4 linked regions of the Anolis sagrei genome follow. The protein of the gene in region 4 interacts with the protein of the main gene of each other region in a pairwise test. Links are inferred from orthologs where the notes say so. Each region holds a gene or a part of one and is shown on either strand. Other genes may lie near its edges.

Evidence for each region.
Region 1: the proteins of SNX15 (region 4) and ARL6IP1 interact in binary tests that used the Homo sapiens proteins (3 or more experiments, as listed by UniProt). The two-hybrid records come from large-scale screens. The link is inferred for Anolis sagrei from reciprocal best matches to the Homo sapiens genes SNX15 and ARL6IP1.
Region 2: the proteins of SNX15 (region 4) and RTN4 interact in binary tests that used the Homo sapiens proteins (3 or more experiments, as listed by UniProt). The two-hybrid records come from large-scale screens. The link is inferred for Anolis sagrei from reciprocal best matches to the Homo sapiens genes SNX15 and RTN4.
Region 3: the proteins of SNX15 (region 4) and REEP6 interact in binary tests that used the Homo sapiens proteins (3 or more experiments, as listed by UniProt). The two-hybrid records come from large-scale screens. The link is inferred for Anolis sagrei from reciprocal best matches to the Homo sapiens genes SNX15 and REEP6.

Annotation. Positions count from the first base shown.
Region 1 is NC_090034.1:25,324,787-25,332,565, forward strand, and holds the start of ARL6IP1 (ADP-ribosylation factor-like protein 6-interacting protein 1), read right to left. Parts: upstream 3,008-7,779; 5' UTR 2,937-3,007; coding exon 2,901-2,936; intron 1-2,900. UniProt on the Homo sapiens protein: Positively regulates SLC1A1/EAAC1-mediated glutamate transport by increasing its affinity for glutamate in a PKC activity-dependent manner.
Region 2 is NC_090021.1:16,435,124-16,442,189, forward strand, and holds the start of RTN4 (reticulon-4), read left to right. Parts: upstream 1-4,046; 5' UTR 4,047-4,453; coding exon 4,454-5,048; intron 5,049-7,066. UniProt on the Homo sapiens protein: Required to induce the formation and stabilization of endoplasmic reticulum (ER) tubules. They regulate membrane morphogenesis in the ER by promoting tubular ER production.
Region 3 is NC_090034.1:62,189,605-62,196,680, forward strand, and holds the start of REEP6 (receptor expression-enhancing protein 6), read left to right. Parts: upstream 1-4,054; 5' UTR 4,055-4,124; coding exon 4,125-4,239; intron 4,240-7,076. UniProt on the Homo sapiens protein: Required for correct function and survival of retinal photoreceptors. Required for retinal development.
Region 4 is NC_090032.1:21,597,174-21,604,092, forward strand, and holds the start of SNX15 (sorting nexin-15), read right to left. Parts: upstream 3,014-6,919; 5' UTR 2,946-3,013; coding exon 2,847-2,945; intron 1-2,846. UniProt on the Homo sapiens protein: May be involved in several stages of intracellular trafficking. Overexpression of SNX15 disrupts the normal trafficking of proteins from the plasma membrane to recycling endosomes or the TGN.

The sequences.
Region 1 (7,779 bases), on a different chromosome or scaffold from region 4:
GAATTTGTATGCATGCTGGAACAGATATATTTTAAAGTATAAGTCCATATACATACATATATATGTGTGTGTGTGAGAGAGAGTGTGTTTTGGATCACATAGGGAAGGGCGAACACTCCTGTGGTGTTCTGTTGCTGCTTGTGGCACTGTTTTAGAGGATTTCGCCTCCTTTTCTGTCCCTATGATAACTGGGTTTTGAAAAATGTGTCTAGTTGTGGAAATAACAATTCCAGATAAACCTTCAGTGGGGATCTTGTTTCCCCATGATAATAACTCTTCCATGACTAGATTCCCCTCACTTCCTGTTGTCTCAGTCCCATTCTTAACTGTGGGTCATTTGTAAGTTGGGTGTTTGTAACTCGGGTACGACCTGTATGTAGAAGGGGAGAGGAGGCTAACCTACTTACCCTATGCTCATTTATCAGAAAACCTACTTGACAAAACATCTTTTTCTCCCTTCTCTCACTTCATGCATTAACCTCTCCCCTGATTTTAAAGCATCCTAGGAGTTTCAAAAGGCAATTGGAAATGCACCTCCACCTGGCATACCTTCACTCTGGGCCATCAAAATCAAAAGTTTTATGCCTTAAAGATGAACATGTGTTATTGGACACAACCTTTCACAGGACACAATGTTCTGGTGTGCCTCTGAGTCCTTCTCCACTTACAGCGATCCTAAGGTCACAATTTAGCAAGATCTGTTCAGAAGGGCCAGGCCAATAACACTTGTTCATCCTCTCAGCCACCAAAGAAGGTTATTGGTGGCTAAGAGGGTGACTTGCCCAGTTGGTTTCCATGGCTGAGCCTCCAGAGCCCTGGTCCAATGCTCAAACCATGAGGCCACCCGGACTCCTCTCATAACCAGCCGCTTTGGGTCTCATTAAGAGAATAAAGAGGGCTATAAATCAATGCAGTAGTAATAACACTCTGTAACACAATTTTTGTTCCTGGGTTATAAATGGCATTTTCTAATTGGTTCTAATCACTATGTTTTAAAACTAGTATCAAGTCAATACAGAGCGTATGGTATAGTGGTTTTTAACTCTGGATATGTTTCAATGGTTTTTAACTAGGGATTTTAAATATACAGGGTTAGTCAAAATGCATAGGCCAATAAGCCATTCAATTGAATAGCTTATTGGCCTATGCATTTTGACTAACCCTGTATACTGTTTATATTTAATCCTGTTTTAATGTTTACATATTTGTATATTTGAAATCGTGTACAAATGCTTTTATGTTAAGCCACTGTATAAATATGTGAAAGGATGTAAAAAGGAAGAGGGAGCAGGTTTGTTTTCTGCTGCCCTGGAGACTAGGACTCAATGGAGCAATGGGCTCAAATGACAGGAAAGGAGATTTCAATGAACATGAGGAAGAACTTCTCACTGTGAGAGCTGTTCAGCAGTGGAACTCTCTGCCTCGGAATCTGGTGGAAACTTCTTCCTTGGAAGATTTAAAAAGATGCCGGATGACCATTTGTCAGGGGTGATTTGATTGTGCTGTTCCTGCATGAAGGTGGAGTGGAAGGGGGTTGGACTGGGTGGCCCCTGGGGTTGCTCCTATTATTATTATTATTATTATTATTATTATTATTATTATTATTATTACTAGAAGGGCTGGGTGGCCATCTGTTGCGAGTACTTTAATGGTGATTTTCCTGCATGAAGGCAGAAGTTAGTTGGACTGGATGATCTCTGAGGTTTCTGCTATGATGATGATGATTATTACAAAGGCTGGATGGCCATCTGTTGGGGGTACTTTGATTGTGTTTTTCCTGCATGGCAGAAGGCAGTTGGACTGGGTGGTCCCTGGGATAGCTCTTATTATTATTATTATTATTATTATTATTATTATTATTATTGCAAAGGCTGGATGGCCATCTCTTGGGGGTACTTTGATTGGGCGTTTCCTGTATGAAGGCAGAAGAGAGTTGGATTGGATGGTCTCTGGGGTTGCTCCATTTATCTATCTATCTATTTATTTATATCCTGCTTTATCTCTCCATACGGACACTCAGAGCGGCTCACAATAAAGGAACATTACAACTTAAAATACACAAACATACAACAATAAAACAGTATATGTGATTAAATATTAACAGTAGTAATTCTATTTAATACATTAGCATTACTATATTACAATATTATTATCAATATTATATGTCTATACAATATACTATACTATTAGCCTAGCACAATATTAGTATTACATATTACTATATTCTACTATACCACTATACTGCAATACTATTAGTAATATTACATGTAATATATAATATACAATTATTATTATATCATTATATTGTACTATATTATTATACCACAACATATATAATACGCGACCAGTATATTATACTACAGGTATTAGTATTATATAATATAATGTATTATTAGTATTATTAGAAAAGCTGGATTACCATCTGTCGGGGGTGTTGTGAGGGTGCTTTTCCTGCAGGGCAGAATGGGGTTGGACTGGATAGTCCTTGGGGTTTCTGCTATTATTATTATAATTATTATTACTAAAAAGGCTGGGTGGCCGGCCATCTGTTGGGGGTGCTTTGATGGTGTTTTTCCTGCATGAAGGGGGTTGGACTGGATGGCCCCTGGGGTCTCTTAACTGGGCGTCTACTCTACTATTCGACATGGACCTAACCGCGCACCCCAGAATATCTACTCCGTGCCATGATCCCTGCATTCACCAATTCTACTGAAAGAGAGACCCTGAAAGCAAAGGGCCATTATTCAAGGCCAAGCAAGCTCTGGGCCTGAGCCCGGAAACGAGGCCTCAGCCTGGGCCCTTAAGTCTCGCCAAACCCGCCCTGGATGGGGACCACGACTGAGGCCACGCCGCCTCCCCCTTGCCTAGAAGAGAGAGAGAAGAATAGACCGTTCACCCACCAGCTGGTTGGTGCTCCTGTTGTCGCCTTCCGCCATTTTGTCCGCCTTCGACAGCTCCAACCGTCAACCGCCCGGCACCGCCCCCAAGAAAGGCAAGTCTTTTCTCTCACCTCGCCTCCCATTGGTCAGGGGAACCAAACCCCACCAGCCAATCAGCGTCGTCTTGTTAGCCTCCGGGCCAATCGCCTACCTATTTACATTTTCAAAACGAAGGCGCGGCTCCCTGTAGTGTAAGCCTAGGCCAGCTTGGGCCCTCTCTCCAGATGTTGTGGACTTCAGCTCCCACAATTCCTCACATCCTCAGGCCTCTTCCTTTTGCTCCCCAGCCCTTTAAGGTTGGGCCGAGGCTGTGAAGAATTGTGGGAGTTGACGTCCAAAACACTGGAAAGAGAGCTCAAGTTGGCCCAGGTCTGCTTTGTTGTTGTTCATTCGTTCAGTCGTCTCCGACTCTTCGTGACCTCGTGGACCAGCCCACGCCAGAGCTCCCTGTCGGCCGTTACCACCCCCAGCTCCCTCAAGGTCAGTCCAGTCACTTCAAGGATGCCATCCATCCATCTTGCCCTTGGTCGGCCCCTTTTCCTTTTGCCTTCCACTTTCCCCAGCATAATTGTCTTCTCTAGGCTTTCCTGTCTCATGATGTGGCCAAAGTACTTCAACTTTGTCTCTAGTATCCTTCCCTCCAATGAGCAGTCGGGCTTTATTTCCTGGAGGATGGACTGGTTGGATCTTCTCGCAGTCCAAGGCACTCTCAGCACTTTCCTCCAACACCACAGCTCAAAAGCATCAATCTTCCTTCGCTCAGCCTTCCCTAAGGTCCAGCTCTCACATCCGTAGGTGACTACAGGGAATACCATGGCTTTGACTAGGCGGATCTTTGTTGCCAGTCTGATGTCTCTACTCTTCACTATTTTATCGAGACTGGACATTTTGTAAAGGTCTGCTTTACAAAATTGGAAAAGAAGCATTTTGTTTCTTATCAACCACAGGCACCACTACATAGAAACAAAAGGTTTCTGAGCCACTTTGAATTGGGGAAAAGCTAGGAAATGGCAAACACCAAATGCAAGCCTTGAAGGAAAGAAGGAAGAAAAAGGGAAGGAAGGTAAAGAAATAAAAAGGAAGGAAAGAAAGAAAGAAAGAAAGAAGGAAGGAAGGAAAAGGGGCAGGAAGGTAAGAAGGAAAAAGGGAATGAAGGTAAGTAAGAAAAAAGGAAGGAAAGGAAGAAGGGAAAGAAAAACGGAAGGAAGGAAAAAGGGAAGGAAGGGAAGAAAGAAAAAGGAAAGGGAAGAAGCAAAAAAGGAAGGACAGGAAAAAAAGGAAATGAAGGGAAGAAATAAGGAAGAAAAGAAGGGGGTTGGTCACTTCACAGGATGAACACAACACCTTTTTGTTGTCGTTTGTATTTTGGTCATTGGCCAAAACAAAATGTTGATATTAAGCAGGCGTGAGACTTTTGAGATACCCAAGTGTGATGAAGTGTACATTTTTTCTTGCAGTTATGTATTATTATAGACTAGCTTGGGGACCCAGCGCTGCCCGGGTTATTTAAGAAAGGAATTGTGTATCAAGTTTGGTCTTTATCAGTTATTTATATGACTCGCAGTTGTCTCAGGAAGTTAGTGAAGGTACTGTGAGTCCCATTATCTGTGGTCCATCCTCCTCCAAACTGCTCCAGGATGGAGAGTGGGTAATGGGGTTTTTGTGTGCCAAGTTTGGTCTTGATCGGTCATTAGATGAGTGTTGCAGAGGTCTTGGGAAGTGAGTGGAGGTACTTGAAGTCCCATCATCCATAGTCTGTACTCCCCCAAACCTCACCAGAATGTTGACTTGGCCATGGGGGCTCTCTGTTCCAAGTTTGGTCTTTATTCGTTTTTGAATGAGTTTTGCTATGGTTTCAGGAAGTGAGTGAACGTACTGCAAGTCCCATCCTCCATCGTCCATCCTTCAAACAGCACTGGGATGTAGGGTGGGTCATGGGGGCTGTGTGTGCCAAGTTTGGTCTTAAACGGTCATTAGATGAGGGTTGCAGCAATCTTGGGAAGGGAGTAGAGGTACTTGAAGTCCCATCATCCATGGTCTGTCCTCCAAACTGCACCAGGGTGTAGAGCGGGTCATTGGGGCTCCGTGTGCCAAGTTTGGTCTTGATTAGTCATTGGCGAGGGTCTCAGTGGTCTCAGAAAGTGAGTGAGGTTACTGCAAGTCCCATCAACCACCTCCGTTTTTTTTCCAAATGACACCAGGACGTAAAGTGGGTCATGAGAGGTCTATGTGCCAAGTATGCTCTTGATCAGTCATTGCATGAGATTTGCAGAGGTCTCAGAATGTGAGTGAAGGTACTGGAAGTCGCATCATCCATCGTCTGTCCTCCTCCAAAACTGCAGCAGGATGTAGAGTGGGTCATGGGGGCTCTGTGTGCCAAGTTTGGTCTGTATTGGTAATTTTCTGACAGAGCCCCTGGCCTTTCCTTTCCTCTCTTTGTCATCTCGGAATCTTGGAATTGAGGCTGGCCAATCTGAGACCATATGCAAATTTCCTTCTCTCATGTCTCCGTTTCTGTCATGAAACCTTTTCTCCACCAGGGGCTCCTGTAAAGCTGACCAATCAGAGATCATATGCAAATAGCACCACAGCGGCAGCCAATCAGAATCTTGGAACTTTCAGGGTGGCCAATCAGAATGCTGGCACATACACCGCCACACCGCCACACTTTTGTCCTCCGCATACAAACTTTGACTTTTATTATATACATAGATAAGGGTTAGTAATGGTAAGTATATAGTATTGCATAATATTGGGGGATGGTAACCAGCTTAGCTTGCTTTGAGCTGAGTTGCTATGGAGATAGGGGCAGAGCCAACTGCCACTTGGCAGAACAGCCATTTTGGAAGCGGTCAGTCTGTGGTTGGTGAACTGCAGAACTGGTTGGTTCTTTCCTGTGTAAAGAACCAGAGAGAATTCTGTAGTCATAGAACTACAGGGAAAGGCTGATGCTTCCTCTTCATCTTGGAAAGAAGTGACGAGTGGAGTGCCGCAGGGTTCCGTCCTGGGCCCGGTCCTGTTCAACATCTTTATTAATGACTTAGATGAAGGGTTAGAAGGCAGGATCATCAAGTTTGCAGACGACACCAAATTGGGAGGGATAGCCAATACTCCAGAGGACAGGAGCAGGATTCAAAATGATCTTGACAGATTAGAGATGGGCCAAAACTAACAAAATTAAGTTTAACAGTGACAAATGTAAGATACTCCACTTTGGCAGGAAAAACAAAATGCAAACATACAGAATGGGGGACGCCTGGCTCAAGAGCAGCAAGTTAAACATGAGCCAACAATGTCATGTGGCGGCAAAAAAAGCCAATGGGATTTTGGCCTGCATCAATAGGAGCATAGTGTCTAGATCTAGGGAAGTAATGCTACCCCTCTATTCTGCCTTGGTTAGACCACACCTGGAATATTGTGTCCAATTCTGGGCACCACAATTGAAGAGAGATATTGACAAACTGGAATATGTTCAGAGGAGGGCGACTAAAATGATCAAGGGTCTGGAGAACAAGCCCTATGAAGAGCGGCTTAAAGAGCTGGGCATGTTTAGCCTGAAGAAGAGAAGGCTGAGAGGAGACATCATAGCCATGTATAAATATGTGAGAGGAAGTCACAGGGAGGAGGGAGCAAGCTTGTTTTCTGCTTCCCTGGAAACTAGGACACGGAATGGCTTCAAACTACAAGAAAGGAGATTCCACCTGAATATTAGGAAGAACTTCTTGACTGTGAGAGCTGTTCAGCAGTGGAACTCTCTGCCCTGGAGTGTGGTGGAGGCTCCTTCTTTGGAAGCTTTTAAACAGAGGCTGGATGGCCATCTGTCAGGGGTGCTTTGAATGCAATATTCCTGCTTCTTGGCAGGGGGTTGGACTGGATGGCCCATGAGGTCTCTTCCAACTCTATGATTCTATGATTTATATTAAAAGTAACTGTTGTGGAAAAGAAGGGAAACCCTAATAAGCATCTTTATTGTAACAGAACCATCATAAAGAAAGGATAAGCGTGTGCCTGAAATAACCTGTTAAAGAAAGATCTCTTTCTAAAAGAACTAAGTTTAAGACCTGTTTGTTAGAATAATTAGACCTTCTAAGAGTTATTTAAGGACTGTTATGAACGTGACCATTAAAGATCTGTACCTCTAAGAGAAGAGAAACTTTGAAACCATCACATTTCTGTACCTCAACAAACTTGTTCGTTTCCTTTTGAAGTCAAGCCTGACTCTTTTCCAAGTCAAGTCATGCTACATATTAGAGAAAGACCAAAGCAACATTACAAGCTATTGGTTGTGTCATCAATTTAAAAAGCCATCACAAAGAGGTGACTCCTTTTTCCAACTTTCTACATATATGTAACAGTTATACCTATACCTCCTTACAATTTGGTGGCATTGTTGCAAATTAGTGGCCAAGCCTTTACAATTAGTAGCAGTAATATACTGGCTCCTTCACAAGGTGCTTGTTTTTTTTGCTTTTTTAAAAGTTTGTTTATTTTTCAGAAAGGCAGGACATATATACCTCTAGTTCAAAATGGAACCAGTTTGAGAAAGCTCCGGTTGAGAAAGTTATTTGAATGTCTGCCTGCATGCTCAGAAAGGTGGCTCTGAATTTAATGTGCCTCAACCATGGAGGCAGGCATTAGCAAATTTAACTTGTATATGTCGATGATTTCCTATTATGATGTCCCTTCTGTCCAATTATGTTCTGCATGTGGCCTCAAAAGGAGAACACTAAAACGTGGTTTCACAATGCTGCCCAGGTCTAATCGGCAAGCATAATCGTATTGGGTTGGCCGGGATGTGACAGCTAAGGAGTATTTGAACTAAGCAGGAAAACGGGAGGTG
Region 2 (7,066 bases), on a different chromosome or scaffold from region 4:
AATCGTGTCAGGAGCAAACCAAACAGTTGTATTGCATTTTTTAACAAACAAACAAACAAAACACAAAGTTTGCAAGCTTGGTAGTTGATTAAATGTCCATCTGGCCACTTGGAGTGCCTCTGGTGTTGCCTCAAGAAGGTCCTCCATTGTGCATGTAGCAGGGCTCAGGTTGCATTGCAGCAGGTGGTCTGTGGTTTGCTCTTCTCCACACTCGCATGTCGTGGATTCCACTTTATAGCCCCATTTCTTGAGGTTGGCTCTGCATCTCGTGGTGCCAGAGCGCAGTCTGTTCAGCGCCTTCCAAGTCGCCCAGTCCTCTGTGTGCCCAGGGGGGAGTCTCTCATTTGGTATCAGTCATTGATTGAGGTTCTGGGTTTGAGCCTGCCACTTTTGGACTCTCGCTTGCTGCGGTGTTCCAGCGAGTGTCTCTGTAGAGCTTAGAAAACTATTTCTTGATTTAAGTTGTTGACGTGCTGGCTGATACCCAAACAGGGGATAAAGGATCTGATTAAAAATATTCTTTCTAGGAATCTATGGTCCTTCACTGAGATTTCATGGTCATTTTCCAGAAGATGTTGACCATAGATGAAGCCATGTTGGAAGGCCTAGACACATTCCCTCAGGTTAAAAAACAACCCAACGATTTCTTCATTCCAGGTTTTTCACATTCATGGGAGTCCTGTGGCCCTAACCCTATGAATGTGGAGGCCTGCCTGTATTGATGCTGAGTACTTTGATCTTCCTTTGATCAGTATTGCTATAATGCACAGCACAACATTAGTATATATACTGTAATAGTATTAGTAATATTACATGTAATATACACTGCACCACTTCTTGCAGCAGCTGTGGATGTGATCTATTGTTTCATCTGCTTCCTTGCAAGGTCTACACTTGGGATCTGTCGTGACTTTTCAATTCTGGCTTTGATGGCATTGGTTCTAATGGCTTGTTCTTGGGCTGCCAGAATCAGGCCCTCCGTCTCCTTTTTCAAAGTCCCATTTGTGAGCCACATCCATGTTTTTTTCTTTGTCAATTTGGCTCTCAAATTTTGCCAGAAACTGTCCAGTCTTTTGCTGGTTTTCTCTTCTGCTATGGATTGTGTTTTTACGGTATTCCCTCTTTGTCTTTTGCACTTGAAGCAGTTTACTACGATTGACTTCCCTCAATGTTGGTTCTTGATTGCCTTTCACATAATCTGCCAGTGCATGTTTCTCTTCTTCTACCATTTTTGCTTCACTTGCAGAAGCCCTCTCTCTGCCTCCTGATTTTCTGGGCAGGTAAAGTCTGTTGACATCACTACACGGGTGTAATGAGTAGTGAATTGTCATCAGTTTTATTGTTTTTCTATCCAGATCATTCAGCTCTGCTTGTGTCCAGTTCACAATCCCACCAGTGTATGTAATGACGGGGGTGGCCCAGGTGTTGATAGCCTTGATATTGTTTTATATTGCTTTCAATTGTGTTGTTATTTGTTTTATCTTATGTTTTAATTGGTGAAAGTGTTTTACATGTGTTTTTTAATTGTAATCTTGGGCGTGCCCCTTGTAAGCCACCCCGAGTTCCCCAGGGGAGATGGTTGGTGGGGTATAAAAATAAAGTTATTATAATTGATTGTATTTCCGCCATTTAATTTACTCTTCAAAACCTTTCTGACTCTTTGGATATATTCTTTGCTGACCACATTTTTCACTTGCCCATGCCTGATATTGTCCAACTGTAGTATGCCCAGTGTGCTGTCGCACGCTGGGCCTGTGCATAGGACTGTAGACAGGACATATATTCTGTGTGCCCAACAGGACGCCGGGGCTGCCTCAGATTAAAGGCCCTTGGATTTCCTTAAAACAGAGTCTTTAGATTGTTTAAAGGTTCAACAGTGTTCTTTATTGATGAAAACAAACAATACTTTAAAGCTTTCTTAACAGTCTATTGGCTCTCTCAATCTTGTCCACAGGGAACAGGCACTATCTTCATAACTGTAACTAATGGGGAAATTCTTAACTTCTAATCTGGGCAGTCTGTCTTTGCCTCTGATGGCGTGGAGCCCCTACACCCGGTACCAACTGCATCTGGCTTCCGCGAGTGACCCTTACCAAGCAGAGCTTTGTAGACTTCCAGGGAAAAAGGAGTTCAGGTTTCAGTGATGGCTGACTGAAGTCCCTCAGCAAAGGAGCTGTAAGGCTGTATATCTTCTGGCCAAGCTGTGGGGCTGTATAACCCCAGCCAAGCCATAGAAGACAAAGCTTTCTACAGGAGCTCTTGGTATTATGTCCTGCATGGAAAGCTTCTCTGTGTGGACTGAACCCAAACTGGCTCCTATTCCCTCCAAAACCCAAAGGGGGCAGGACCAGGGAACCGAACTATAATTGACAGGTGGCTTGTCCTATGATTGCAGCCAAAAGAAGCCACCTATCTGCAGAGTCCCTGAAACTTAGGACTACAACAAACATTAAATGCAAAGCAAACAAAATTGGAGCTCCTGGTGCAGTTGTACCTGCACACCCAGATATTATTATTACTATTATTGGCTATCCCTTCCAACTGGCCGTATTACGTCCCTCTACGTCCCACCCTGGAGTCTAAGATCATCTGGGGAGGCCCTGCTCTCGACCCTGCCTCTATCACAAGTGAGATTGGCGGGGACGAGGAGCAGGGCCTTCTTGGTGGTGGCCCCCCACCTTTGGAATTCACTCCCCGGGGAAATTAGATCTGCAATATCGCTCCTTTCCTTTAGGAAAAACTGAACACATGGATTTGGGACCAGGCATTCGGATAATCGGGCAGATAAAAGGACTTGACAATGATTAGGAAATGATTAATGGAATAGAACTATGGAACTCTGAAAGACGAAGCGCTGAGCATGAGAATAGTTTTTTTTATAGTTTTTATATATGACATGTTATGTACTGATTGTTTTGATTGTTTTTAACTGCAATAATTGTTTTAGCCATGGTTTTGTATATTATGTGTAATTTGTACGGCATCAAATGGTGCCTTCTTTGTAAGCTGCCCTGAGTCCCCCCTCGGGGGTTGAGAAGGGTGGGGTAAAAGTAACAGAAATAAATAAAATAAATAGGTTCTTGTGGGTTTTTTCGGGCTATAGGGCCATGTTCTAGAGGCATTTCTCCTGACGTTTCGCCTGCATCTATGGCAAGCATCCTCAGGTCTGTTGGAAATAGGACAATGGGTTTATATATCTGTGGAATGGCTGGGGTGGGGCAAGGAGCTCTTCCCTGCTAGAGCTAGGTGTGAATGTTTCAGCTGATCACCTTCATTAGCATTTGAAGGCCTGCCTGAGCCTGGGAAAACCTTTTGTTGAGAGGTGTTAAGATGTGCCTGGTTGTTTCCTCTCTGCTGTTTTGCTTTGTAATTTTGGAGTTTTTTAATACTTGTAGCCAGATTTTGTTCATTTTCATGGTCTCCTCCTTTCTGTTGAAATTGTCCACATGCTTGTGGATTTCAATGGCTTCTCTGTGTAGCCTGACATGGTGGTTGTTGGTGTGGTCCAGCATTTCTGTGTTCTCAAATAATATGCTGTGTCCAGGCTGGTTCATCAGGTGCTCTGCTATGGCTGACTTCTCTGGTTGAAGTAGTTTGCAGTGCCTTTCATGTTCCTTGATGCGTGTCTGGGCAACTCTGTGTTTGGTGGTCCCTATGTAGACTTGTCCACAGCTGCATGGTATACAGTAGACTCCTGCAGAAGTGAGAGGATCCCTCTTGTCCTTTGCTGAAGGTAGCATTTGTTGGATTTTCTTGGTGGGTCTGTAGATTGTTTGTATGTAGATTGTTTTGTTTGTAGATTGTTTGTAATAAAATAAATAAATATTATTATTATTGTCTATCTCTTCCAACTGGTGGTTCGGAATTGTGGGAGCTGAAGTCCAAAACACCTGGAAGGCCCAAGTGTGCCCATGCCTGGGCTGCATCCTCTTCTCCATCCCCACCTCGAATGGTCAATTCCCTCTTAGCCCCGCCCCCTTTGTGTCCCCTCCTGGATGCTCATTGGGCCTTTGGGTTGCCTGTCTATCTTCTTGGGTGGGAGAAGAAGAAGAGAAGGAGGAGGACAGACAGGAGCCGCTCGCTTCAACTTCTCTTCCTCCTCCTCCTCGTCCTCCTCGTTAGTTGCAGGCTCCCTCCTCCCCGTCCAAGCCCAGCCTCCTCCTCCTCTCCTTCCTCCTCCTCTTCTGTGACTCATCCGGGCGTGGAGGTGGTGGCTGGCTGGCGGGCTGCGTCTCCCCCTCTTCTCTCTCTCTCTCTCTCTCTCTCCTGAAGCAGCAGCAGCAGCCGCCCTCCTTGTTCATTCCTCCTCCTCCTCCTTTTCTACTTTTACTCCTCCTCCTTCTCCTTCTTTTGGGGCGAAAGAGTGAGAGAGTGTGCAGTTTTCCCTTCCTTCCTTCCTTCCTCCCTTTCTCCCAGCTCGGCTCCTCTTGAGTTCTTCTCTTTGCAAGCCAGGATGGACGACCCCGACCAGTCGCCTTTGGTCTCCTCTTCGTCTTCTTCTCTCCCTCCTCCTCCTCCTTCCACAGCCTCCCAGCCCCAGCCCCCCCTTTTCCAGTACCAGTTCGTGAAGGACCCCGAGTACGAAGAGGAGGAGGAGGAGGAAGAAGAGGAGGAAGATCTGGATGATGAGCGGCTGGAAGTGCGGGAGGTGAAGAAGCCCCTGTCCGCCCCGGCCCCGACCATCCCTTTCAGCCCCCCTCCGGCTCCTTCCGGGCCCCCTCCGCCCTTGCTGGACTTGGGGGGCTTCGGGGAGCCGCCCCCGCCCGCCAAGGCCCCCTCCTCCTCCCCGCCCCCGCCGCCCCCTCCGCAGCCGGCTTGGGGCCCCAGCACCACCACCCCCTCCTCCTCCTCCTCTTTCCCTCCTTCCTCCTTCTCTTCTTCTCCTTCTGCCCCCGAGGAGGAGGAGCAGCCCCCGCCACCCCCGCCGCCCCGAGGGGAGCCCAAGCCCCCCGCCATCCCGCCCCGCAACGCCCCCCAGCTGCCCCCCAAGAAGGAAGAGCAAAGCCCCGCCGCCGCCAAGGGAGACCCCAAGGGCTCAGCCTCGCCCGGTGAGTCGGGGAAGGAGAGTGCGCATGCGCCTGCAGAGCTGGGGGGGGAGATGCTTTGGCTTTTTGGGGGGAGGGGGCAGTGGGGTGTCTGTCTATCGAGGGCCAGGGGTTTTTTTGAAGGGGGAAGACTGCTTCAGGGAAACTTCCTAAGGGGGGGGGGGACCATGGGGGTGTGGTGGTCTGCCTTTAGTGGAACTTGGGGGGGGGGTACCATGAGGGTCCTTTGTAGTGAACCTCTCTCTTGTATTTTTTTTTGGGGGGGGGGAGTTGACCAGAGGGGTGTGGTGGGCCATGGGGGTGAATGCTTTTTGGGTGGAGAACATTGTAGTGAACCTTCTGTGTGTATATTTTTGTTGGAGGGGGAGTTGACATCGGGGGCCTTGTAGTGAACCTCTCTGTATGGGTATTTTTTGGGGGGAGGAATTGACCTGAGGGGTGTGGTGGACTGTAGTGGAACATGGGGTGAATGTGTTTTTTTTGGGGGGGGGGCTATAAGAGGCCTTTGTAGTCAACTTCTCTATGTGTATATTTGGGGGGGGGGGTTGACCTGAGGGGCGTGGGTGGGCAGCCTTTGTAGTGGAACTTGGGGTGAATGAGGGGAGTGAGCATAAGAAGCCAATGTAGTGAACCTCTCTCTGTGTGTATTTGGGGGGGGGGGGGGAGTTAACCTGAAGGGTGTAGTAGAGCTTGTGGTGAATGTTTTTTTTTGGGGGGGGGGAGACTATAAGAGGCCTTTGTAAAGAACCTCTCTCTCTGTGCATTTTGGGGGGGGGTTGACCTGAGGGGCGTGGTGGGCTTCCTTTGTAGTAGAGTTCGGGGTGAATGTTTGAGGGGAGAGGCCATAAGAGGCCTTTGTAGTTAACCTCTCTCTTTGCGTTTTTTTGGGGGGGGGAGAGTTGAAGTTTGGGGTGAATATTTTTTGGGGGAGACTGTAAGAGGCCTTTGTAGTCTACCTATCTCTGTGTATATTCCTTTTTGGGGGGGGGGAGGGTTGACCTGAGGGGCGTGGTGGGTAGCCTTTGTGGTGGGCCTTGGGGTGCCTCCATGTGTGCTTTTTTTTGGGGGGGGGGAAGCTAGGCTTCCCTCCCCAAACTCCTGTCAGGCCAAGGCTTGAAAGTGGGGAGACTATTGGGGGTGGGTACATTGGTAGTGGACCTCTGGGTATACATTTGTGGTGGTGAGAGAAACCTTGGCCTTGACAAGGAGAGCATGATGAAGGGGAGCCATTGTAAGGAGTGTGTTTTTGGGGGGGGGGGAGGGTGAGACAAGGAAGGCAGAAATGAGTGAGGGGAGTGGTCGTATTGGAATTAATGGATTCTGGTTCCCAATAACTCATGGAGGGGCCTGATAGGAAAGGCCTAGAAGACCTAGTAGGAGGGAGGGGTCAAGGGGAAAATGGACATTGAGGGCGTGTATGGGAAGAACTGGGGTGGCCTCACCACAGGGTAATGTGGGGAGGGTCTGCTTTTGTGTGGGAGAACTTTTGGAGGGGGTGGATTCAGTGGCATGTCAACTCTCCATGACTCATGGAGTAGGCCTTCCAGACGCTGTGAAGAGAGGGCTTTTTTTTGCGGGAGGAAATCGAGAAAGGAGGTTGTTCATGTGAGGAATTGGGTGGTGGGGTGGTGGTGGAGTGGTCTCACTATGGGTGAATGTGAGGAGGAGGTGTGGGTGTGCTTTGTTGAAGAGGGGAGTGTGTCTGGAAGGCGTTGGGTGATGGAGGGAGGAATAGCATGGCATGAAAGGGTGAGTGGGGGCTTTGGGAAGTGTAGCTACAAAGATTGAGTAAGCAGCATGTGCAAGCATGCTGAGGAACAGGTGGAAGTATGTGGTATGTGTGTGTATGTACACACACACACAAGCCGTGCCCACCACGTGTTGCTGTGGCCAACCTTCCCTCCCTCTTTCTCTCCTTCCCCTTTTTACTTTCCTTCTCTCCTTCCTTCCTTCTCTTCCTCTTTCCTTCCTTTCCCCCTTTTTCTTTCCCTTCCTCTTTCCCCCCTTTCTTCTCTACATCT
Region 3 (7,076 bases), on a different chromosome or scaffold from region 4:
ATTTTAATTATTGTATTGTTTGTAAGTGTCTTTTGCACTACAAATAAGATATGTGCAGTGTGCATAGGAATTCATTCATGTTTTCTTCAAATTATAATCTGGCCCTCCAACAGTTTGCGGGACTGTGACCTGGCCCTCTGTTTAAAACGTTTGAGGACCCCTGCTGTAGATCTTAGAAAACTATTTCTTGATTTAAGTCATTGAGAGAGGTCAACCCTCCTGTTCAAGGAGCTCCACTGGCTGCCGTTTGTTTTCCAGATCAGACTTCCCAAGGTACAGGCGCAACTTTGGAAGCTTTTAAACAGAGGCTGGATGGCCATCTGTCAGGGGTGATTTGAATGCAATATTCCTGCTTCTTGGCAGGGAGTTGGACTGGATGGCCCATGAGGTCTCTTCCAACTCTTTGATTCTATGATTCTAACTGTGAACCTAAACCTAACTGATGCGGGCACGATTGGTGGGGACGAGGGAGAGGGCTTCTTGGTGGTGGCCCCTCGACTCTGGAATTCACTCCCTAAGGACATCAGATCAAGGGTCTGGAGAACAAGCCCTATGAGGAGCGGCTTAAGGAGCTGGGCATGTTTAGCTGAATAAGAGAAGGCTGAGAGGAGATATGATAGCAAAGATACAAAATAGGGGGACGCCTGGCTCGAGAGCAGTACGTGTGAAAAAGATCTCGGAGTCCTCATGGACAACAAGTTAAACATGAGCCAAGAATGTGATGTGGCGGCAAAAAAAGCCAATGGGATTTTGGCCTGCATCAATAGGAGCATAGTGTCTGGATCTAAGGAAGTAATGCTACCCCTCTATTCTGCTTTGGTGAGACCACACCTGGAATAATGTGTCCTATTCTGGGCACCACAATTGAAGAGAGACATTGACAAGCTGGAATGTGTCCAGAGGAGGGCGACTAAAATGAGCAAGGGTCTGGAGAACAAGCCCTTTGAGGAGCGGCTTAAGGAGCTGGGCATGTTTAGCCTGAAGAAGAGAAGGCTGAGAGGAGATATGATAGCCATGTATAAATATGTGAGAGGAAGCCACAGGGAGGAGGGAGCAAGCTTGTTTTCTGCTTCCCTGGAGACTAGGACGCGGAACAATGGCTTCAAACTACAAGAAAGGAGATTCCTTCTGAACATGGTTACTGAACACTGGAATGGAACAATGGATGACGAATCTGGAACATGTTTTTGATGACGAGACGACAGTGAATGGGTATTGTAGTAACTGTTTATTAATTGTGTAATGTGTTAGGTTGTCAACTGTTTCTATACTGTAGCACTGAATTTTTGCTGTTCGTATTTGTTGTGAACCGCTGTGAGTCACCTTCAGGCTGAGAACAGCGGTATATAAGTAAGGTAAATAAATAAACATGAGGAAGAACTTCCTGACTGTGAGAGCCGTTCAGCAGTGGAACTCTCTGCCCCGGAGTGTGGTGGAGGCTCCTTCTTTATTTTATTTTAATAATATGTCGCTCCGGTGAGCAATCTGGCTGCCACTCGCTGGACCAGTTGAAGTTTCCAAACAATCTTCAAGGGCAACCCCACGTAGAGTGTGTTGCAGTAGTCTATTCAGGATGTAGCAAGAGCATGGACCACTGTGGCCAGATCAGACTTCCCAAGGTACGGGCGCAACTTTGGAAGCTTTTAAACAGAGGCTGAATGGCCATCTGTCAGGGGTGATTTGAATGCAATATTCCTGCTTCTTGGCAGGGGGTTGGACTGGATGGCCCATGAGGTCTCTTCCAACTCTTTGATTCTATGATTCTATGAGCGGCTTGTCTCTCTCCTGAGGAATCTGTACAAGGACCAAGTCGCAACAGTAAGAACTGACCACGGAACAACAGACTGGCTCAAGACTGGGAAAGGCGTACGGCAAGGCTGCATACTCTCACCCAACCTTTTTAACTTGTATGCAGAACACATCATGCGATGTGCGGGGCTGGATGAATGCAAAGCTGGGGTGAAAGTTGCTGGAAGAAACATTAACAACCTCAGATATGCAGATGACACCACTCTGATGGCCGAAAGCGAGGAGGAGCCGAGGAGCCTTCTAATCAAGGTGAAAGAAGAAAGCGCAAAAGCCGGCTTGCAGCTAAACGTCAAAAAAACCAAGATTATGGCAACAAGAATGATTGACAACTGGAAAATAGAGGGAGAAATCGTGGAGGCCGTGATAGACTTTGTATTTCTAGGTGCAAAGATGACTGCAGATGCAGACTGTGGCCAGGAAATCAGAAGACGCTTACTTCTTGGGAGGAGAGCAATGTCCAGTCTCGATAAAATAGTGAAGAGTAGAGACATCAGACTGGCAACAAAGATCCGCCTAGTCAAAGCCATGGTATTCCCTGTAGTAACCTACGGATGTGAGAGCTGGACCTTAGGGAAGGCTGAGCAAAGGAAGAGAGATGCTTTTGAGCTGTGGTGTTGGAGGAAAGTTCTGAGAGTGCCTTGGACTGCGAGAAGATCCAACCAGTCCATCCTCCAGGAAATAAAGCCCGACTGCTCACTGGAGGGAAGGATACTAGAGACAAAGTTGAAGTACTTTGGCCACATCATGAGGAGACAGCAAAGCCTAGAGAAGACAATTATGCTGGGGAAAGTGGAAGGAAAAAGGAAGAGGGGCCGACCAATGGCAAGATGGATGGATGGCATCCTTGAAGTGACTGGACTGACCTTGAAGGAGCTGGGGGTGGTGACGGCCGACAGGGAGCTCTGGCGTGGGCTGGTCCATGAGGTCACGAAGAGTCGGAGACGACTGAACGAATGAACAACAACAGTGTCTAGATCCAGGGAAGTCATGCTACCCCTCTATTCTGCTCTGGTCAGACCACACCTGGAATATTGTGTCCAATTCTGGGCACCACAATTGAAGAGAGACATTGACAAGCTGGAATGTGTCCAGAGGAGGGCGACTAAAATGATCAAGGGTCTGGAGAACAAGCCCTATGAGGAGCGGCTTAAGGAGCTGGGCATGTTTAGCCTGAAGAAGAGAAGGTTGAGAGGAGATATGATAGCCATGTATAAATATGTGAGAGCAAGCCACAGGGAGGAGGGAGCAAGCTTGTTTTCTGCTTCCTTGGAGACTAGGGCGCGGAACAATGGCTTCAAACTACAAGAGAGGAGATTCCATCAGAACACGAGGAAGAACTTCCTGACTGTGAGAGCCGTTCAGCAGTGGAACTCTCTGCCCTGGAGTGTGGTGGAGGCTCCTTCTTTGGAAGCTTTTAAACAGAGGCTGGATGGCCATCTGTCAGGGGTGATTTGAATGCAATATTCCTGCTTCTTGGCAGAATGGGGTTGGACTGGATGGCCCATGAGGTCTCTTCCAACTCTTTGATTCTATGATTGTAATTGTGAACCTAAACCTAACTGATGTGGGCACGAGTGGTGGGGACGAGGGAGAGGGCTTCTTTGTGGTGGCCCCTCGACTTTGGAATGCACTCCCTAAGGACATCAGATCAAGGGTCTGGAGAACAAGCCCTATGAGGAGCGGCTTAAGGAGCTGGGCATGTTTATGAGAAGGCTGAGAGGAGATATGATAGCCATGTATAAATATGTGAGAGCAAGCCACAGGGAGGAGGGAGCAAGCTTGTTTTCTGCTACCTTGGAGACTAGGATGCGGAACAATGGCTTCAAACTACAAGAGAGGAGATTCCACCTGAACATGAGGAAGAACTTCCTGACTGTGAGAGCCGTTCAGCAGTGGAACTCTCTGCCCTGGAGTGTGGTGGAGGCTCCTTCTTTGGAAGCTTTTAAACAGAGGCTGGATGGCCATCTGTCAGGGGTGATTTGAATGCAATATTCCTGCTTCTTGGCAGGGGGATGGCCCATGAGGTCTCTTCCAACTCTTTGATTCTATGAGCGGCTTAGAGTTTAGGGAAGTGTTGTCAAAGGCTTTCATGGCCAGAATCCCTGGGTTGCTGTGTTTTCTGGGCTGTCTGGCCATGTTCCAGATGCAACCCAGTTTAGAGAAGTATTTTCCCCTGGCAGGTGTGGCCCCGCCCCTTCTCTCCCATTGGTTGCTCGGTGAAGGGGCTCTGCCTTCTGCCCTGGAAGCCCCGCCCACCTGTAAGAGCTGACCGGCTTAGAGATCCCCGCTGGTCTCCGTCTGGGCTTTGTTCTGCGATGGACCCGCTGCAGCGTCGCTTCCAGGCCTTTCTGGACCAGCCAGGCTGGCTGGGCGACCTCCTGGGCGGGCTGGAGGCCAGGACCGGCGTTCAGCGCTATTACCTGGCCACAGGTGAGCCCCTAGCTGCCCTTGGGAAGTTTGCGCATGTGCACAAGCGCCCTTGGCCCACCTTTGGCTGCTCTCCTCAGCCTGAGGAGTGGGCAGGCAAAGAGAAGCGCCTGGTTATGTTAGTATTATTATTATTATTATTATTATTATTGTATTATTATTGGTATATATTATGTTATTTGTACTATGATATATTATGACATATATTATAATAATACAAATAAAATAACAATACAATAATATAAGATATAATAAAATAATATGTCATAATATATCATAATAAAATGTATAATAATATATCATAATAAAATAATACAATTATAATTTATAATATATTATAATCATACAAATAAAATAACAATACAATATGATATAATGAAATAATATGTCATAATATATCATAATAATCATGTATAATATCATAATAAAATAGTAATACAATTACTATAATCTATAATATATTATAATACAAATAAAATAACAATACAATAATATATAATAAAATATGTCATAATATATCATAATAAAATGTATAATAATAATGTATAATAATATATCATAATAAAATAATACAATTACTAGAATCTGTAATATATTATAATAATACAAATAAAATAACAATACAATAACATAAGATATAATGAAATAATATGTCATAATATATCATAATAAAATGTATAATAATATATCATAATAAAATAATACAATTACTATAATCTATAATATATTAGAATAATACAAATAAAATAACAATACAATATGATATAATGAAATAATATGTCATAATATATCATAATAAAATGTATAATGATATATCATAATAAAATAATACAATTACTAGAATCTATAATATATTATAATAATACAAATAAAATAACAATACAATATGATATAATGAAATAATATGTCATAATATATCATAATAAAATGTATAATGATATATCATAATAAAATAATACAATTACTAGAATCTATAATATATTATAATAATACAAATAAAATAACAATACAATAATATAAGATAGAATGAAATAATATGTCATAATATATCATAATAAAATGTATAATAATATATCATAATAAAATAATACAATTACTAGAATCTATAATATATTATAATAATACAAATAAAATAACAATACAATAGTATAAGATATAATAAAATAATATAGATTATAGTAATTGTATTATTTTATTATTATATATTATTATACATTATTATTATACATTTTATTATAATCTATAATATATTATAATAATACAAATAAAATAACAATACAATAATATAAGATATAATAAAATAATATTATAAATTATAGTAATTGTATTGTTACGTTATTTTATTATTATATATTATTATACATTATTATTATACATTTTATTATGATATATTATTAGATTATATTGTTATTGTATTGTTATTTTTTGTATTATAATATGGCCCCCGGTGGCGCAGTGGGTTAAAGCACTGAGCTGCTGAGCTTGTTGACCAAAAAGGTCGCAGGTTCGATTCCAGGGAGTGGCGTGAGCTTCCGCTGTCAGCCCTAGCTTCTGCCAACGTAGCAGTTCGAAAACATTCAAATGTGAGTAGATCAATAGGTACCGTTCCGGCGGGAAGGTAACGGCGCTCCATGTGGTCATGCTGGCCACATGACCTTGGAGGTGTCAATGGATAACGCTGGCTCTTCGGCTTAGAAATGGAGATGAGCACCACACCCCAGAGTCAGACATGACTGGACTTAATGTCAGGGGACTACCTTTACCTATATTACATATTATATTTTTGTATTTTACATTGTATTAAATAATATTGAAGATTTGTATTATTATGTTATTTTATTGTATTATTGTTGTATTTTGTTTTTTTCCTTTATTATTATATTTGTTTTTTATATTATTATATATTGTTGTTATTATTACTTGGGGTCCATTGCTCTTTCTATATTACCCCTCCCCATTCTTTTTGCACTGTAATTCCCATCAACCTCCATCCTGCCTGATGATCTTTCCAGTCCAACGGAAAGAGCAGCCTTTCCCAGCAGGAGGAAATTATTATTATTGTTGTTGTTGTTGTTATTCTAATATCTAATGTTATTTTAATGGGTTTTAAAAATAATTATTCAATGTATTTCCTGTGCATATCTTCCAATATTGCCGCGCACTGCACACTGCACTTGCCCTATAATCCTTACATATCACCTGTCACATCAGTACTTTTAATTCTGTACCCTTTACTCTGGCCCGGCCCAGTTTTATTGTGTTTTGGTGTATTGTTTATTGCTTGTTGTTTTAATATTGCTTTAACTGTTTTTAATTTGCTTTAGGTGTTGTATTGTTATGTTGTGTATTGAGGCCTTGGCCTTTGTAAGCCGCATCGAGTCCTTCGGGAGATGCTAGCGGGGTACAAATAAAGATAATAATAATAATAATAATAATAATAATAATAATATTTTAATATGCTGTCGCTAAAAATGGGGTTCATCCATGAAACGTAAAATTTATGTAGCGTAACTACATGCAATAAGTGAGTTTCTTTGTGGGGTATTATTATTATTGTATTATATTTTATATTATATATATAATATTTATATTATACAATTATATATAATATATTAAATATGTTATTATAAAGTAGATATCATATAATCATTAATATAGCATATTAATATTATAATATTATTCTTATTGGTATATATTATATTATTTTGTGTTATAATGTATTATGATTTATTGTTATTAATTTAAATGTATTAAATATTATAATATGATATATTATATCATATTGTTATATTTATATTTTTAATTATATTTTTATTAATGGCATATATTATATTATTTCT
Region 4 (6,919 bases):
ATATAATAATAATTATTATTACTATTATTATTATTATTTGATTTATTCCAATTTATTTAATTATTATTATTATTATTATTACTATTATTATTATTATTATTTGATTTATTCCAATTTATTTAATAATAATAATAATTATTATTACTATTATTATAATAATTATTATTATTTGATTTATTCCAATTTATTTCGCTCTATACAGCGCCAAAATTTATGCTTTCCTTGTTTTGCACAAACTGGATCAAACCCATATTTTATTTTTGTTAATTTAATTAATTTAACTTTTTAAATTTAATTTTTAAATAAATAAATAATAATAATAATTATTATTAGTAGTATTAGTATTATTCCAATTTATTTCACTCTACACAGCGCCAAAATTTATGCAAACTGTATCACACCCATTGCTGCGTATTTAATCCCATACAGCTGAGACTCTGCACATGCTCAGAGGCAATAATAATGATAACGAGAAGCCCCTTTGGTATCGATATTATTACTAATAGATACTATTACTAGTCGTTCCCTTGATATTAATAATTCCCTTAAGCCATCTGATAGGACCCATATCTATCCTTTATGCAATCAGACACTCTGCACATGCTCAGAGGCAACAACAACAACAACAACAACAATAGTAATAGTAATAACCACAATAATAATGAGCAGCTTTGGGTCAACAACAACAGCAACAATAATAATGTGCTTTTCCCTATTCATTCCCTTTACCCAGATCTATGCAATCAGACACTCTGCACATGCTCAGAGGCAACAACAACAACAACAATAACAGTAATAGTAATAACCACAATAATAATGAGCAGCTTTGGGTCAACAACAACAACAACAATAATAATGTGCTTTTCCCTATTCATTCCCTTTACCCAGATCGATGCAAGCAGACACTCTGCACATGCTCAGAGGCAACAACAACAACAACAGTAATAGTAATAACCACAATAATAATGAGCAGCTATGGGTCAACAACAACAGCAACAACAATAATAATAATGTGCTTTTCCCTATTCATTCCCTTTACCCAGATCTATGCAATCCGACACTCTGCACGTGCTCAGAGGCAACAACAACAACAACAATACTCACTCCCTTTCCCCAGATCTATCATTCCTGCAATGGGACACTCTGCACATGCTCAGAGGCAATAATAATAACAACAATAATAGTAATAGTAATAACCACAATAATAATGAGCAGCTTTGGGTCAACAACAACAGCAACAACAATAATAATAATGTGCTTTTCCCTATTCATTCCCTTTACCCAGATCTATGCAAGCCGACACTCTGCACATGCTCAGAGGCAACAACAACAATAGTAATAGTAATAACCACAATAATAATGACCAGCTATGGGTCAACAACAACAGCAACAACAACAATAATAATGTGCTTTTCCCTATTCATTCCCTTTACCCAGATCTATGCAATCAGACACTCTGCACATGCTCAGAGGCAACAACAACAACAGTAATAGTAATAACCACAATAATAATGAGCAGCTTTCGGTCAACAACAACAACAACAATAATAATAATGTGCTTTTCCCTATTCATTCCCTTTACACAGATCTATGCAATCAGACACTCTGCACATACTCAGAGGCAACAACAACAACAACAACAACAATAGTAATAACCACAATAATAATGAGCAGCTTTGGGTCAACAACAACAGCAACAACAATAATAATGTGCTTTTCCCTATTCATTCCCTTTACACAGATCTATGCAATCAGACACTCTGCACATGCTCAGAGGCAACAACAACAACAACAATAATAATAGTAATAGTAATAACCACAATAATAATGAGCAGCTTTGGGTCAACAACAGCAACAACAACAAGAATAATGTGCTTTTCCCTATTCATTCCCTTTACCCAGATCTATGCAATCAGACACTCTGCACATGCTCAGAGGCAACAACAACAACAACAATAGTAATAGTAATAACCACAATAATAATGAGCAGCTTTGGGTCAACAACAACAGCAACAATAATAATGTGCTTTTCCCTGTTCATTCCCTTTACCCAGATCTATGCAAGCAGACACTCTGCACGTGCTCAGAGGCAACAACAACAACAACAATACTCACTCCCTTTCCCCAGATCTATCATTCCTGCAATGGGACACTCTGCACATGCTCAGAGGCAATGATAATAACAACAACAATAATAATAGTAATAGTAATAACAACAATAATAATGAACAGCTTTGGGTCAACAACAGCAACAACAACAATAATAATGTGCTTTTCCCTATTCATTCCCTTTACTCAGATCTATGCAAGCAGACACTCTGCACATGCTCAGAGGCAACAACAACAACAATATTCACTCCCTCTACCCAGATCTATCATTTCTGCAATGGGACACTCTGCACATGCTCAGAGGCAATAATAACAACAACAACAACAATAATAATAATCATTCCCTTTACCTAGATGTATCATTCCTGCAATGGGACACTCTGCACATGCTCAGAGGCAGCAACAACAACAACAACAATAATATTCACTCCCTTTACCCAGATCTATTATTGATGCAATGGGACACTTTGCACATGCTCAGAGGCAATGATAATAATAATAATAATAATAATAATAATAATCACTCCCTTTACCTAGCTCTATCATTTCTGCAATGGGACACTCTGCACATGCTCAGAGGCAATAATAATAATGATAATAAGCTTTCAAAAATAATAATTTGCATTTCCCTATTCATTGCTTTCAGCCAGCCTTTAATTGCAATGCAAGGGTCTCTGCACATGCTCAGAGGCACCCTTAATTGGGGTCTATGTGCGTTTCAAGGCCCCCCTCTCCACCTTGGCGGTGACTTTGTACTCGGTGTGTCCCTTGGGGTGGCCGCGGGGCTCGGTGACCGTGTAGAAACGCTGGTACTCCTCTTTGGCCCGGCGGGACATTTCCGTGACGCGGCCCCTTTAAATCTGGGACCTCCCCGTTGGAGCCAAGGGAGGGCTCCACTGCGCCTGCGCGCGCCTGCCTCTCCTGGCTGGAGACAGGGCTAGGGAGCGTCTGCAAAGTGCAAACGCCAATAGGTCAATAAGGGCTCCTCTACAAAAGGCAAAACCTGGTCCAAGCAGAAAAAAATAAATAAATAGAAACTATTGACAATTTTTTACTAGGAATTTATTATTTTATTAATAAGTAAATAATAAGAGGGAAAAAAAGAGCTGGAAGAGGGGAAAAAAAGAAGAAAAAAAGACCCCTCCCCTATTTATTTATTTATCCCCAATTATTATTACTTCCAATACTAATAATAATAATATTTGCAGTACTGTCAATCAATCACGTTGGCTCCCACAGACCATAGAACCATAGAATCATAGAATCAAAGAGTTGGAAGAGACCTCCTGGGCCATCCAGTCCAACCCTATTCTGCCAAGAAGCAGGAATATTGCATTCAAATCACCCCTGACAGATGGCCACCCAGCCTCTGTTTCAAAGCTTCCAAAGAAGGAGCCTCCACCACACTCCGGGGCAGAGAGTTCCACTGCTGAACAGCTTGGATGGTGTAGAGTTGGAAGAGACCTCATGGGCCATCCAGTCCAACCCCATTCTGCCAAGAAGCAGGAATATTGCATTCAAATCACCCCTGACAGATGGCCATCCAGCCTCTGCTTAAAAGCTTCCAAAGAAGGAGCCTCCACCACACTCCGGGGCAGAGAGTTCCACTGCTGAACAGCTTGGATGGTGTAGAGTTGGAAGAGACCTCATGGGCCATCCAGTCCAACCCCATTCTGCCAAGAAGCAGGAATATTGCATTCAAATCACCCCTGACAGATGGCCATCCAGCCTCTGCTTAAAAGCTTCCAAAGAAGGAGCCTCCACCACACTCCCTCCGGGGCAGAGAGTTCCACTGCTGAACGGCTCTCACAGTCAGGAAGTTCTTCCTCATGTTCAGATGGAATCTTCTCTCTTGTAGTTTGAAGCCATTGTTCCTTTGCGTCCTAGTCTCCAGGGAAGCAGAAAACAAGCTTGCTCCCTCCTCCTCCCTGTGGCTTCCTCTCACATATTTATACATGGCTATCATATCTCCTCTCAGCCTTCTCTTCTTCAGGCTAAACATGCCCAGCTCCTTAAGCCGCTCCTCATAGGGCTTGTTCTCCAGACCCTGGATCATTTTAGTCGCTCTCCTCTGGACACATTCCAGCTTAGGGTCAATATCTCTCTTGAATTGTGGTGCCCAGAACTGGACACAATATTCCAGGTAAAGTGGTCTAACCAAAGCGGAATAGAGCATGGGGAGCATGACTTCCCTGGATCTAGACACTATGCTCCTATTGATGGAGGCCAAAATCCCATTGGCTTTTTTTGCCACCACATCACATTCCTGGCTCATGTTTAACTTGTTGTCCACGAGGACTCCAAGATCATTTTCACACGTACTGCTCTCAAGCCAGGCATTGTCCCCCATTCTGTATCTTTGCATTTCGTTTTTCCTGCCAAAGTGGAGTATCTTGCACCACTGCGACCCCCACCAATGATGGACCAGGACCACACTGGGCACACAGACCCCTCCCCTATTTGCAGTAATGTCAATCAATCAGGTTGGCTCCAATCAATCACTGCTCACCTATTTGCAATACTGTCAATCAATCGCGTTGGCTCCCACAGACCACTGCGACCCACACCAATGACGGACCAGGACCACACTGGGCACACAGACCCCTCCCCTGTTGCAGAACTGTCAATCAATCACGTTGGCTCCAATCAATCACCCCTCCCCTATTTGCGGTACTGTCAATCAATCACGTCTTAGAAAAATACTCAGTATTTGCTTTTTTGTAATGAATGCTCCCATTCTGTTTTTTTATGAAAACTCCATGATGTTGCTCAGGTTAGTTTGGTAAGGATAAATATTAAAAATAGTCATTGTTAGATTTTGGATTTTAAGAATAGACCTCTTAGAAAATGCATAACTGTATAAATAGGGCCATTTATAAATTTGGACAGCTGATGTGGTGCAACTTCCATCAGTGCAAGACCAACTTACTTCTCTACTAACCAAGTAACGCATTTTCTAATGGTATGTATTATATTTTTTTCCCAATTTACAGATGTAGAAATTAGTAAATCATTGGATTTACTGTAGCCATACTAGATTGGAATGTGTCCAGAGGAGAGCGACTAAAATGATCAAGGGTGTGGAGAACAAGCCCTATGAGGAGCGGCTAAAGGAGTTGGGCATGTTTAGCCTGAAGACGAGAAGGCTGAGAGGAGGCATGATAGCCATGTATAAATATGTGAGAGGAAGCCACAGGGAGGAGGAGGGACCAAGCTTGTTTTCTGCTTCCTTGGAGACTAGGACGCAAGGGAACAATTCCTTCAAACTACAAGAGAGGAGATTCCATCTGAACATGAGGAAGAACTTCCTGACTGTGACAGCCGTTCAGCAGTGGAACTCTCTGCCCTGGAGTGTGGTGGAGGCTCCTTCTTTGGAAGCTTTTAAACAGAGGCTGGATGGGCATCTGTCAGGGGTGATTTGAATGCAATATTCCTGCTTCTTGGCAGAATGGGGTTGGACTGGATGATGGCCCATGACTGTGAGAGCCGTTCAGCAGTGGAACTCTCTGCCCCGGAGTGTGGTGGAGGCTCCTTCTTTGGAAGCTTTGAAACAGAGGCTGGACGGCCATCTGTCAGGGGTGATTTGAATGCAATATTCCTGCTTCTTGGCAGAATGGGGTTGGACTGGAGGATGGCCCATGACTGTGAGAGCCGTTCAGCAGTGGAACTCTCTGCCCCGGAGTGTGGTGGAGGCTCCTTCTTTGGAAGTTTTGAAACAGAGGCTGGATGGCCATCTGTCAGGGGTGATTTGAATGCAATTTTCCTGCTTCTTGGCAGAATGGGGTTGGACTGGAGGATGGCCCATGACTGTGAGAGCCGTTCAGCAGTGGAACTCTCTGCCCCGGAACGTGGTGGAGGCTCCTTCTTTGGAAGCTTTTAAACAGAGGCTGGATGGCCATCTGTCAGGGGTGATTTGAATGCAACATTCCTGCTTCTTGGCAGAATGGGGTTGGACTGGAGGATGGCCCATGACTGTGAGAGCCGTTCAGCAGTGGAACTCTCTGCCCCGGAGGGAGTGTGGTGGAGGCTCCTTCTTTGGAAGCTTCTAAACAGAGGCTGGATGGCCATCTGTCAGGGGTGATTTGAATGCAACATTCCTGCTTCTTGGCAGAATGGGGTTGGACTGGAGGATGGCCCATGACTGTGAGAGCCGTTCAGCAGTGGAACTCTCTGCCCCGGAGTGTGGTGGAGGCTCCTTCTTTGGAAGTTTTGAAACAGAGGCTGGATGGCCATCTGTCAGGGGTGATTTGAATGCAATTTTCCTGCTTCTTGGCAGAATGGGGTTGGACTGGAGGATGGCCCATGACTGTGAGAGCCGTTCAGCAGTGGAACTCTCTGCCCCGGAACGTGGTGGAGGCTCCTTCTTTGGAAGCTTTTAAACAGAGGCTGGATGGCCATCTGTCAGGGGTGATTTGAATGCAACATTCCTGCTTCTTGGCAGAATGGGGTTGGACTGGAGGATGGCCCATGACTGTGAGAGCCGTTCAGCAGTGGAACTCTCTGCCCCGGAGGGAGTGTGGTGGAGGCTCCTTCTTTGGAAGCTTCTAAACAGAGGCTGGATGGCCATCTGTCAGGGGTGATTTGAATGCAACATTCCTGCTTCTTGGCAGAATGGGGTTGGGCTGGATGATGGCCCATGACTGAGAGCCGTTCAGCAGTGGAACTCTCTGCACTGGAGTGTGGTGGAGGCTCCTTCTTTGGAGGCTTATAACCAGAGGCTGGATGGCCATCTGTCAGGGGTGCTTTGAATGCAATATTCCTGCTTCTTGGCAGAATGGGGTTGGACTGGATGGCCCAGGAGGTCTCTTCC